Linked DNA regions of Caenorhabditis elegans. The protein of the gene in region 2 interacts with the protein of the main gene of each other region in a pairwise test. Each region holds a gene or a part of one and is shown on either strand. Other genes may lie near its edges. The genes, in order: sdz-12 and cec-6.

Region 1 (4,260 bases), on a different chromosome or scaffold from region 2:
ATAGGAGCTGGAGAAGCGGCAGTTTCAGTTTCCAGATGACTTTTCATATGACTGACCAGGCTTCTTTGGTAATTGTATTTCGATCCGCAGAATTCGCAGGTGTACCTCTGAAATAGATAAGTTAGATAGAGTTAGATAGAGATAGATAGATTATGATGCCAAACGCTATCTATTAAGCACTAACGTCTTCGTAAGAAGACAGCCCAAGTCCACATTTGGTGTTCCGTATGTGATTGCTCAGAGATTTCTGAGAATGTAATTACTTGAACTGTTGCACCTTGCGCAATTCCTGAAAAAAAATGGATCCTTTATTAATTAATTTGTGAAAATTTTACAGTACCTGAGAATAAACTGGCACAAGAGCTTGAGCTTCAGGCAGGTCCATTGATAAGAGAGTAGAGGTGAAGGAATAAATGAACCCGCGCAGAGTGTTTTGGTGGGGCGCAATTATCGATTTGGCGCGCGGTATTGGCAGAGAGCAAATGGGAAGGAGAGTGAAGAAGATGTAGATAGAAAAAGAAACTATGCGTAGTTTGATCTACCAGTCCTGTATTCTGAAGACCAACTAATTGTTTGATTACTCCATAAAATCAGTGATCACGATAGAATAGGGTACTGTAGGTTACCGTAGTTATCAACAATTATCAGTTTCCTTCAAGGGCGAGAACGAGATTCATTGAGTACTTTTAACAAGAAAAAATATTAATTAAGCAGTAGAATCTTATCAATTAAGTTCCTATGCCACCAAAATCATGACTCGCAGTGATGATGTGCATGGTGAACACGATCTTATTTCCACATTCTGCTCCACAAATTGCACATTTGAATGGGCTTCCTGGCGCGTGAAGGGCGTTATGCATGATGCTCATTGTGGCATCGTGGAACTTGATCGTGCAGTGCTTGCATTCCTGAAGAGCTTTTGAGTTGATGAAAGTGTACTTTGAAACTTAAGAACTTACAAAGCTTGGGGTTGGCTCACTGGTAATTAGATTTCTAAACCTTGGCTCATTGGGGCTTAGAGTTGGTGAGAGCTGTTGATCAGTGTTTGGAAGAGTTGCCTGAAAATTTCAAGTCTAATGGTTTCAAAGAACGGCACCAAAACCAATATTGAAAATGAAAACATACCGAGTTCTGTTCACAGAATTCTTCGATCATCGGGGAAGTTCCTAGATTTATGCTCAATTTTTGAGGCGGCTTCTCTTGTGGCGAGATTGCCAACTGAGCTCTGGGACTTCCTGAAGTTGATACGGTGATAGGTGACAGTCTGGCGGAGCTTGTGGGAGCAGGAGCCGAAGAGCGCAGAGCCTGAAAGGATTGTTAAGTCTTAAAGAATTATAAAGCTTTTCACCTCTTTATGATCAAAATGGTAGTGTACCAGGAGATGCCTAGGACTCCCGAATAACTTGTGGCATTTTCCACACGGAGCCGATTCGCTGTATGAAAAGTGGTGATGGTTTACGAGATGATTTTCAACGCCCTCATAGAATACGAACTGCATTGAACAGTTCAACACGGGACAGTCGAAATGTGATCTTTCCTTGAGATGGTTGTGCAGGTGCCTTTGAAGCTGAAAATTACAAATTGCTGGAATTGAACAGGAAAAATGGAATAAAATCTGCTTGCCTGATCTTCCCTGAAGAATGTTCTCTGGCAAGTGCTGCACTTCTTGGATTTTGAACCAGAGTGAGTTATTTGATGACGCTTCAAGTTTGGCTTGTTGGTGAATTGTTTCTCACAATTTTCACATCTGAATTTGTGATTGACCTGAAAAAACGTATAGTTGGAGGAGGAGAAGCTCAGTGGCTTAAACATTTTCTCAAAAACTCACCACATTGGAACGTCCAGGCCTACACGTAATGTGCTTCATGTGCGTTCTCAGCGTTTTCTGAAAAATGGTAGTGAGCTCTATATACTAACTAGCAAAAAAAGGAAGATTATCTGCTGTACAGTAAATTTTGTAAAATTAAGATAAATTAACAACACTTTTTTGCTCACTTCAAAAACTAACCTGATTCGCGAACTTTCTTTTGCAAACTTGACACTGGGGCACCTTAGCAGAATCCTGATCCAAAGTGGAAGAGGTTGCAATAAGCGACAATACGGCGTCTAGTGATGACAAACTCATTTTCACAGAAGAAATCTCTGCGGATTGTCCGAGGGCAGGGAGGAAGGGGAGTGAGAAATGTTTTTGCGTAGTTGCAAAAAGAGGTACATAAGTTCAAAGACTGTGTCCTCGAAAGCTGTGAGAAGTTGCGTCACATATGACGTTGGGGCTTTTGGAGAAGCGGGGCCGACGAATTTATGAAATGTGTGTAATTGCACATTGTAGAGCTGATTGAGTTTTTCAGTATCTCAGTTTTTTCAGTAATTTCTCCATTGACGATGCACCTTCTTTGGGGGGAATATTGTAATCTTTAACAAAATTCACAACATTTTTGGAAGACCAGCTGCCAACTGTGCCAAATTTGCCGGGAAACGAGACGCTGCATTATGCATTATTTTATCGATCCACTAAGATTATCTCCTAGCGTTATTCACTCATAATCTGCCTCTACAAGTCTTCCTATTCGTCATTTTTCTGCAATTTAGTAGGTTAGTAGACATGCTCGTTATAACAAAGGAATTTGTGTCAACTTACACTATTAAAGCAATCTCCAACTTCAAGCCGGATACCACTTATTGCAGCGAGGTTAAAGAATATTACTATATTCCATGGTATTTTTAACTTTCCTTTTTTTATTTAAATTTTTATATTTCCAGGAAACTCCATGTCAATCGAAGAACTGATCAACTTGAGGTGTATCTTAGTTGCGACCAACTTGGCACAATTTGGTCAGTTCAGGCGAATGTTGAAGTGAAGCTTAGATCTCCCAATGAATCTCCCCACTGCAAAACAGCCACTGTAAATTTCAATAGTGAGAAGCCGAAGGAAAACTCATGGGGATGGAAGCAGTTTGCCGATTGGGAGAAAGTCGCAAAAAACTTTGTGATTGAAGATGCGCTACACTTTAAAGTTCATGTTCAAATATTGAACGCTTCTGGGTTCAAGGGAAGAGATCCGGTTTTGAAGTTCGACAATGAGTCTATGGGAGAGCTGTCCGATGTGGTTTTGGTAGTGGATGAGCAGAGATTTCATGTTCTGAGAAAGCATCTCGCTCTGCAGTGCTCCTACTTCAAATCCTTGTTCTTTGGCAGTTTCGGCGAGTCGAAGAAATCAGAGGTTACCCTCTCTGGGATAGACCCGGAAGCCTTCCAGGCATTTTTGGAAGTTCTCTATTTGGAGGACTCGATTGATGGTTAGTTTTTAGTGCTCACATTGGTAATAATTTAAAAATTTCAGACAATACCGTCGAAGGAATCCTTCAACTTGCTGACATGTACGATTCTAGAGCGGTTATTGGGAAATGCGAGAAATTTCTTTACAAGGAGTCCGAGAAGTCCGGGAAAAAGAAATTGGAATTGGCAATTAGATACAAGTTGGAGAAACTAGAGGTAAGTGCGTGCACCTGAATATAACCTTATTTTATCTTCCAGATTCACTGCTGCAACACCATCAAAACCATCCAAGATGTCCGCTCAATTATCGCTGGAAACATTGATGAAATGAGCCCATTCCTGATGAAGCGGGTCTTGAAGCGAGTTCTTGAAGTTTAAAAATTGTTCGTTTTCAAATATGAATTGCATTTTTCTAATAACTGATTTTTGGCCACTATTTTTTCTCTGTTTTCAATTGTAAAGTTTTATTTGCCAGTACAAAAAATAAATTTACGTTTTCTTTATATTATATTGATGAGAAAATTTGAAGACTTACAGAAGAAATTCAAATCATGAACCAGACCAAACCAGAAAAAGTCAAGTCAAGAATTCAAGAAACTTTTATCTAGCATTTCATAAAGTATTTTGATAAGACATATACATAGTTATATTTTGTGGAGTTTAAAAATATAGTTTTGAAAAGTGAAGTTCAAAAACATAGAAAAATAAGAAGTTAGAGGTTTCGAAAATAAGCTTAATTCGAAAGACTCGAAAAAAATCTCAAAAACTGGAAAAAATTGAAGATTTCAATCGTCGGACGGTGTTTGACAGTAACTCGTCGTCGTCGTCGTAAATAGAAGTAGTGTTGATTAGAAAAAACGATGGAATAAAGAAATCAGAACCTCCAAATAGAAAAAGTTCCATGAATGTTTTTAATTCGATAGGCACGCATGCCATGAACATCAGATTCCTCGGCTGAATTAGGCATTAGTAGCTCTGGGCTAG
Region 2 (6,093 bases):
AAAGATCATGTGCCCAGGGCTCCACGAGATGCCACTTCACAAGAAAACCATTCTCTACCTGCTTAAGAATATTGGTATTGAAATTGATAAGGAGACTGAGCAAATGTAAGTTTAGAAGTCGTTCATAATCCATCGTAAAACTTACTCGTTTCAGCATCGAGCGAAAGTTTAACGTAAAGCTCCTCGTTGGAATAGACCGCAACTTGATATCCTATAAGCTTTTGGATGCAGAAGAAGAAGAAGTGATTGAGGAAGACGACGAATCGGAAGAAGTTGCTACTCTAGAGGTCATGGATGTTGATGATGAAGATCTGGATGAGACGGTTCCACTTGAATCAAATGAGGCCATGATTCATATGGATGAAAATCTCGATACATCAGTTTTGTCTAACAAAACGATGGATTCTGTGAACAATCTAGAGAATTCTATCACCGAGAGTACAAATGACTTTACCGTTTTCGAAGGTACAGCTGCCGCTGTGCTCCTGCCTTCTGAAGTTGTATCTCAAGATGTTTTTGGATCACAATCCGACTCAACGGTTCCAGAATCTGCTCCAGAGCCGGCCGAGATTTCTTCAAGTTTGGTGGATTCTGATGATCTGAACTCGAAATCCGCTCAACAAGTCTTGGACGATGCAGACGATGAAGATATGGATTTGATGAACGCTGATGTGATCTTGCCCTCTGAAGCCGGTCAAGGGTCTCGAGACGTTTTCATATCACAATACGACTCAACGATTCCAGAGTCTTGTAGCTTTGATGAGTCCATTCAAAATTCGTCCAGGGTGGAAGAGGAGGTAATTTTAACCCAAATTTACACTTGAATAATAGTTTTTTAAAATTAATATTTTTCCAGAAGCCATCTTCCCACGTCCCATCATCGTCAGCAGCTGAGCCCGTGTTGAAGTTACCTCTGGTGCCCCAGTTATGTCGAACAGTTCCCGGTGCTCCAGAGCCAGCCAAAATTGTTCCAATTTCGGTGGATTGTGATGCTCTGAAGTTGCAAGCCGTTCAACAAGTTTTGGACGATGCAGACGATGAAGATTTAGATTTGATGGGCTCAGCGCTAGAGAAGGCTTTTGGAAACCAGGAAAATTGGACTGACGTAAGAGAATGATGCAGAAAAATATAGAAATTTAATCGGTTTTTTTTTTCAGAAGTCCGCGGCGAAGACCGTTACAAGTGATGCCATTACCAACGCGATTGAAACCAAATTCACAGGAATCTCTCGCGAAGTTCTTCTGGAACAGAAGGAGCGTCTCGTAGAAGAGGCTCTCGACAACGTCGAAAACGAGAAGGTTCTCGAAGTGCGCACAGAAGCCATCCGAAAAGCGCTCATCGAGGTTGATTTTGGGCCAACCAATAACTGTTGAACTTGTTTTTTTTCTATTCTTCCATTCAATTTCTCTCACAGTTAATGGATTTTCATTCTTTAGCCTCAGCCCTAAATAACTGTTAAATATTTTTTGTTTCTATTTTTCATTCTTCTTTTTACTTTATCTCACAGTTAAAGGGCTTTTCTCATTCGTTACCCCTCGCCATAAGCCCTAAATAACTGTTTAATTTTTTTGTTTCTATTCTTTTCAATTCACAAGTTTTCATTCTCTACCTCTCCTTCAATTAAAATCAATTTTGTTGTTCTCGAGATCTCCCGTTCATCACAAAAGCGTGTTAAACAACACTTCAAAGAAACGGATTATTTATTCTTTTTTATTTATTTTTCATCTGTCAAATACATTTTTTTAAGAATTTAAAAAGCTGGAATTGTTATATTTTAAAGTTTGCTCAAGTTCTTTTCAATATTTGCAACGCCAATTCTTGTTCCAGATTTTTTAATTATTTTGAAAAACCTGTTGTAAATTTCAGATGTCTCATGATAGTTCAGGAGAATATATGGTCTCGCAAGTGTTGAAATGCGTGAAATTCAAGGATCTCGTACGGAAAGCACTAAACGCGGAGGCAAAATTCAGCCCGGCCTCGGTCGAATATGACAAGCGAAGGCATTCAAAATATGCGTACTTGGTTGGTTATTAGGCAGGATATGTACGAGAACTCGTACGTTTCTATATGTTCTTTCATCTTTCGTTCCCGCATGACTCATATCAGCATTATTTGATATTGCATTTACCACAATAACTTTTGTCTAAGTGCCCCGCCATTACGATAATTTCTCCATCCCATTTCTCATGTTTTAGATCTTCCCTAAGTTTTGAACTTTTCTTTTTTTTCATGTTGGCAAGTAGTACATTCATGTACATTTATAAAAGATTCGATTTTGTTCTTCCAAATTAGAACTTGTTCAAAAATTTTGAAAAAAGTACAAAAACTTATGGGAAGACCTGATATTTATAGCTTATCTTTATTACAATAACAGTCATTGTCTGACCTAAAACTTCTTTGGAACAACTGTTTTGTAAAATTGGTTTCATTTCAGGTGCACTGGCGAGGTTACGATTGGAAAGAGCGCACTTGGGAACCAGAGGAGAATCTCGAAAATTGCGAGGAGCTACAAAAGTTCAAGGAAAGAAACAATATGTCGTTGGATCATCTAACCTTCGAGCATCATTATGAGCATTCTACGTGGAGAAGGATTTCGCTAGCAAGCGAAAAATGTGTGACGAATCGATATTTGAAGACCGATGACGAGATTGAAGAAAAGAGAGCTCGGAAAAAGGCGAAACTCGAAGAACAGAACAGGAAAGAACAAGCGAAAAACCCCCATGCTTCCGCAGAAACTGAACCAGCTGTGAAGAAGAAGAAGATAGAAGGGGTAGGATCCAGAATTCCAAAGATCAGTGATCGGGAAGGAGCTGGAACATCAGGACAATCGTCTAGCAATGTTTCTACTCCTGGGATAACACCACTCGACAACAAAACTCCGAGAATGCAGAAGAAATCGAATGAAATAGGCCAGGCTTCAACTCCAGAGTGTGCAATCGCAACATTATCAATTGGCACCCCACAGCCTTCGATAATAGATTCCACCTATGACCAGTCAGATATTGCAAATGGTTCCACAAGTCCCCAGCCGCAGCCTGTTTTCAAGAGAAAAATGAATGGCCAAGATGTGTCCGATTATTCTGTTCATCAAGGAGGAACATTCAGTGACGGTAGTGCCATAGAAGGTTCCACTTCTCGTGAAAGTGAGGATATGGACTGCACTCAAGAGACGAAAAAAGCTTTACAGAAAGCTATTGAGGTATGCACGTTACAGATCCTAGATTTCAAAAACTTTACAAAATTTCAGAGCGCTCGTGAAGAATGTGAGGAGATAGAGAAAACGATCAAAAAATATCCTCTGCAAGTAACATCGTCTCGTGTTGTTACTGGATTTTCACCAGCTCTAACTCTCAGAAAATTTCGTCGTTGTCAGTCACTCGAGATGCTTTCCGATCATTTCAACAACAATGCGGAAATGGAAATTTTCGGAAAGAACTTTGAGAACTCTGTCAGATTGGATGCGGACGCAAAACCAGTGGTTATAAAGATTTATCCCCAAGAACAAGAACTATTTCTAACGAAGCAACGAAAGATGCCTTCACTTGAAATGGAGCAGCTGGTTTACGAGAATCTTGTTAAGGAAAACGCCAATAATATCAAAATAGCAATGCATAATATTCGGCCAGACAAGAATTTCGCTCAGTTGCTGGAATGCTTGTCACACGCGTATTCCAAAGATGACAATATTCGCTTCGAAACGATCTTCAACGAAGGATTCCCTCCGAGTGATGAGTACGATTGTCGAAGATTCCAGGCGATCGTGTTTCTAATAGCCTACTGTAAACACCGTCTCTGGAAAGCTGATCCCAAAGGCATGGCGATCGTGGAAGCATCCGATGCGGTGAAAGAAGGAGAAATTAGAGAGCAGCAAATCATTTGCTCTGATAGGCATAGAAAATGTGCCTGGCTGCAGGTTTTCTTGAAACTGATGCCAGACCGATTCAAATTTCTGGAAACTTCGGGACAATGCTATCACGGCTGGGAAGGAGGTAACGAGATAAAAAAGGAGAATAAAGTATTTATAAAGCATCTTTTTTCAGATGACGGGCCGTTCCGCGACGACGTATTCTTCCATTGCATGAAATATGGAGCCGAGTGTCAGAAGCGTCTATTCCTCGACTTCAACAAACCGATTGGAATCCAAGAAGAAACCGTTGGCGATTACAGTGTCGACGCAATGCATCTTCTGGCTGTTCAATATGGCAATATTCAACGAATCCCGTCCTATTTATCAATCGGTGGACTCGATATAAATGCTCTTGCAACTCACTTGCCAACAAAACGAGTGATGAGACTTCAACATTATTTGAAAGTTTGGATAGAGGCACATAAATCCGAGACGACAGCCACAGAAGATCGGAAGAAGTACTATCGATACTTGAATGATGTGATTCGACTTACCAGTGAATCGTTGGAGATTTTTCTGGAAAACGAAGTTACAAAAATGATCTTCTCGCGTATGGGAGGACGATGGAAGATTAGGAGTAAGTTTTCGTTTCCCATAAAAAATATTTGAAACTATTCATTTCAGTGGATCTCACATATCCTCACATTCTTCGATGTTCACCTCTCAGCAACAAGTCCAACGGTGGTGATGGAACTCATCAAGTATTGAGTTGTCTTTTTTATCCCGAAGCGATCGGATATCGTGATGGTTTGGAGAACTCTAAAGGAGCCGACACTGAAAAAATTGATGAGCTGAAAACAAGTCAAAAGCGATACAAGAAGATGATCGAGGAAGGGAAGGGTCGACTTGTTCTCGCCTTATATCGAATTGACATTGAGTTTCGCTGTAATCTGGCCGAAAAGGAGCAGTTTTCTTTGCCAAAATTCACTCTGATCGAAAGTGATGACGGGTTCAAAATTGAAAAGTTGACGTGAGTTTGTAGGCAGAATCTGGTCATCTGATGAAAAAAAAACTATATTTCAGATTGCTCCGTCAAACGGAAGGTCTCACTTGTTACGAAGCCGACATAGGAATGTTCGAAATGACTCCGTTCTCATCGCCGGGCTGTCGATACTTTGGTATTTCGGACAAAGCTCACGAAAAAGATCTAGTGGTTCCCGGAAATGCGCATATCGAGATGAGAGCAGAAGTTGATCAGCCGATAAGCTTTGTCACTCAACTTTTCTTCATCAAAAAGAATGTCTAATTCTTCTTATTTCCATTTCATCCTTAAACCCATCGTGTTCAATTATCCCCTCTCCTTGTTAAATGTTTGTTTTTTTTCTTTTTTGATGTTAAAATTCCTCTTCGAACACGGTCAACATCTGCTTTAAGTTTTAGAGTTCATGATACTCAACTTTCAATTGTTTCAAGATCTCCCAGTTTTCAGTTTGGATCTCTGCTCGTATTTCTCCCCCGAATCGCATTTAAGGAATATGTAGTTCCATTTTTTTCTCAATAAGCTTTTTTATTCGGTTGAAATTACTTTTTGAAGCCGAAAATAAACATTAATTTTATTCAAAATAATTCCGCTATCTAGTAATCATTCGTCTTGAATCGACTATTGGAGTTATTTTCAGATAATTTTCTGTAAGCTTCAGAAAATTGAAAAAAAAAACATTTAGTTATGTTTAAAAAAAAACGTTTTTTTTTATGAAACTCTTTATTATAAAATTGAAGAATTGCAAAAAAAAAAGAGATTTTTCCAATTTTTCAAATTCTAAATTTTGCTCCAGTTCTAGTACACATTTGAAAGTATGCATGTACATCGAAAAACTCACTAAAATCTTTCGCTCTTCATATAAAATTTTCATCAAACTGATGTAAATTCTCTCCCCGTTTTTTCGCCTTTTCCTCTCTTCGTCTTCATCAGATTCTCACGTGTTTTCATTTTTTTTCTCATTTCTTCTCTTCAGACACATACATAGATATACAAGAAAAAGCTGTCAAAACATTGTCTCTTTCTCCATAAACCTGCGTCTCTTACTACTCGCTATGAGAAAAAAAAGAAGAAAAATCTTGAAAATGTGTAAAAGTATGCATTAAAAAGCATGTGAAATCCCACCGAACACCGGCAGCCTAGAAAAATCCATTTGAAACAATTCGGCCATCAAAGTGTTCTGTTCCTTCTTGTTCGCCCCGGCGAC

What was found.
Region 1: the proteins of cec-6 (region 2) and sdz-12 interact in a two-hybrid assay, tested with the Caenorhabditis elegans proteins (one large-scale study listed by BioGRID).

The regions. Positions count from the first base shown.
Region 1 is NC_003280.10:3,729,424-3,733,683, forward strand, and holds sdz-12 (Zinc finger protein sdz-12), read right to left. Parts: upstream 2,401-4,260; 5' UTR 2,126-2,400; coding exon 2,009-2,125; intron 1,886-2,008; coding exon 1,829-1,885; intron 1,765-1,828; coding exon 1,624-1,764; intron 1,568-1,623; coding exon 1,349-1,567; intron 1,306-1,348; coding exon 1,126-1,305; intron 1,059-1,125; coding exon 960-1,058; intron 909-959; coding exon 729-908; downstream 1-728. Other genes in the region: bath-31 (BTB domain-containing protein), read left to right, coding at 2,603-2,715, 2,761-3,296, 3,341-3,492, 3,535-3,654. UniProt on the Caenorhabditis elegans protein: Together with ehn-3, may play a role in gonadogenesis.
Region 2 is NC_003282.8:5,542,994-5,549,086, forward strand, and holds cec-6 (Chromo domain-containing protein), read left to right. Parts: upstream 1-1,866; coding exon 1,867-2,022; intron 2,023-2,434; coding exon 2,435-3,199; intron 3,200-3,247; coding exon 3,248-3,989; intron 3,990-4,040; coding exon 4,041-4,484; intron 4,485-4,531; coding exon 4,532-4,877; intron 4,878-4,930; coding exon 4,931-5,153; 3' UTR 5,154-5,466; downstream 5,467-6,093. Other genes in the region: tebp-2 (SPK domain-containing protein), read left to right, coding at 1-105, 155-797, 857-1,105, 1,158-1,373.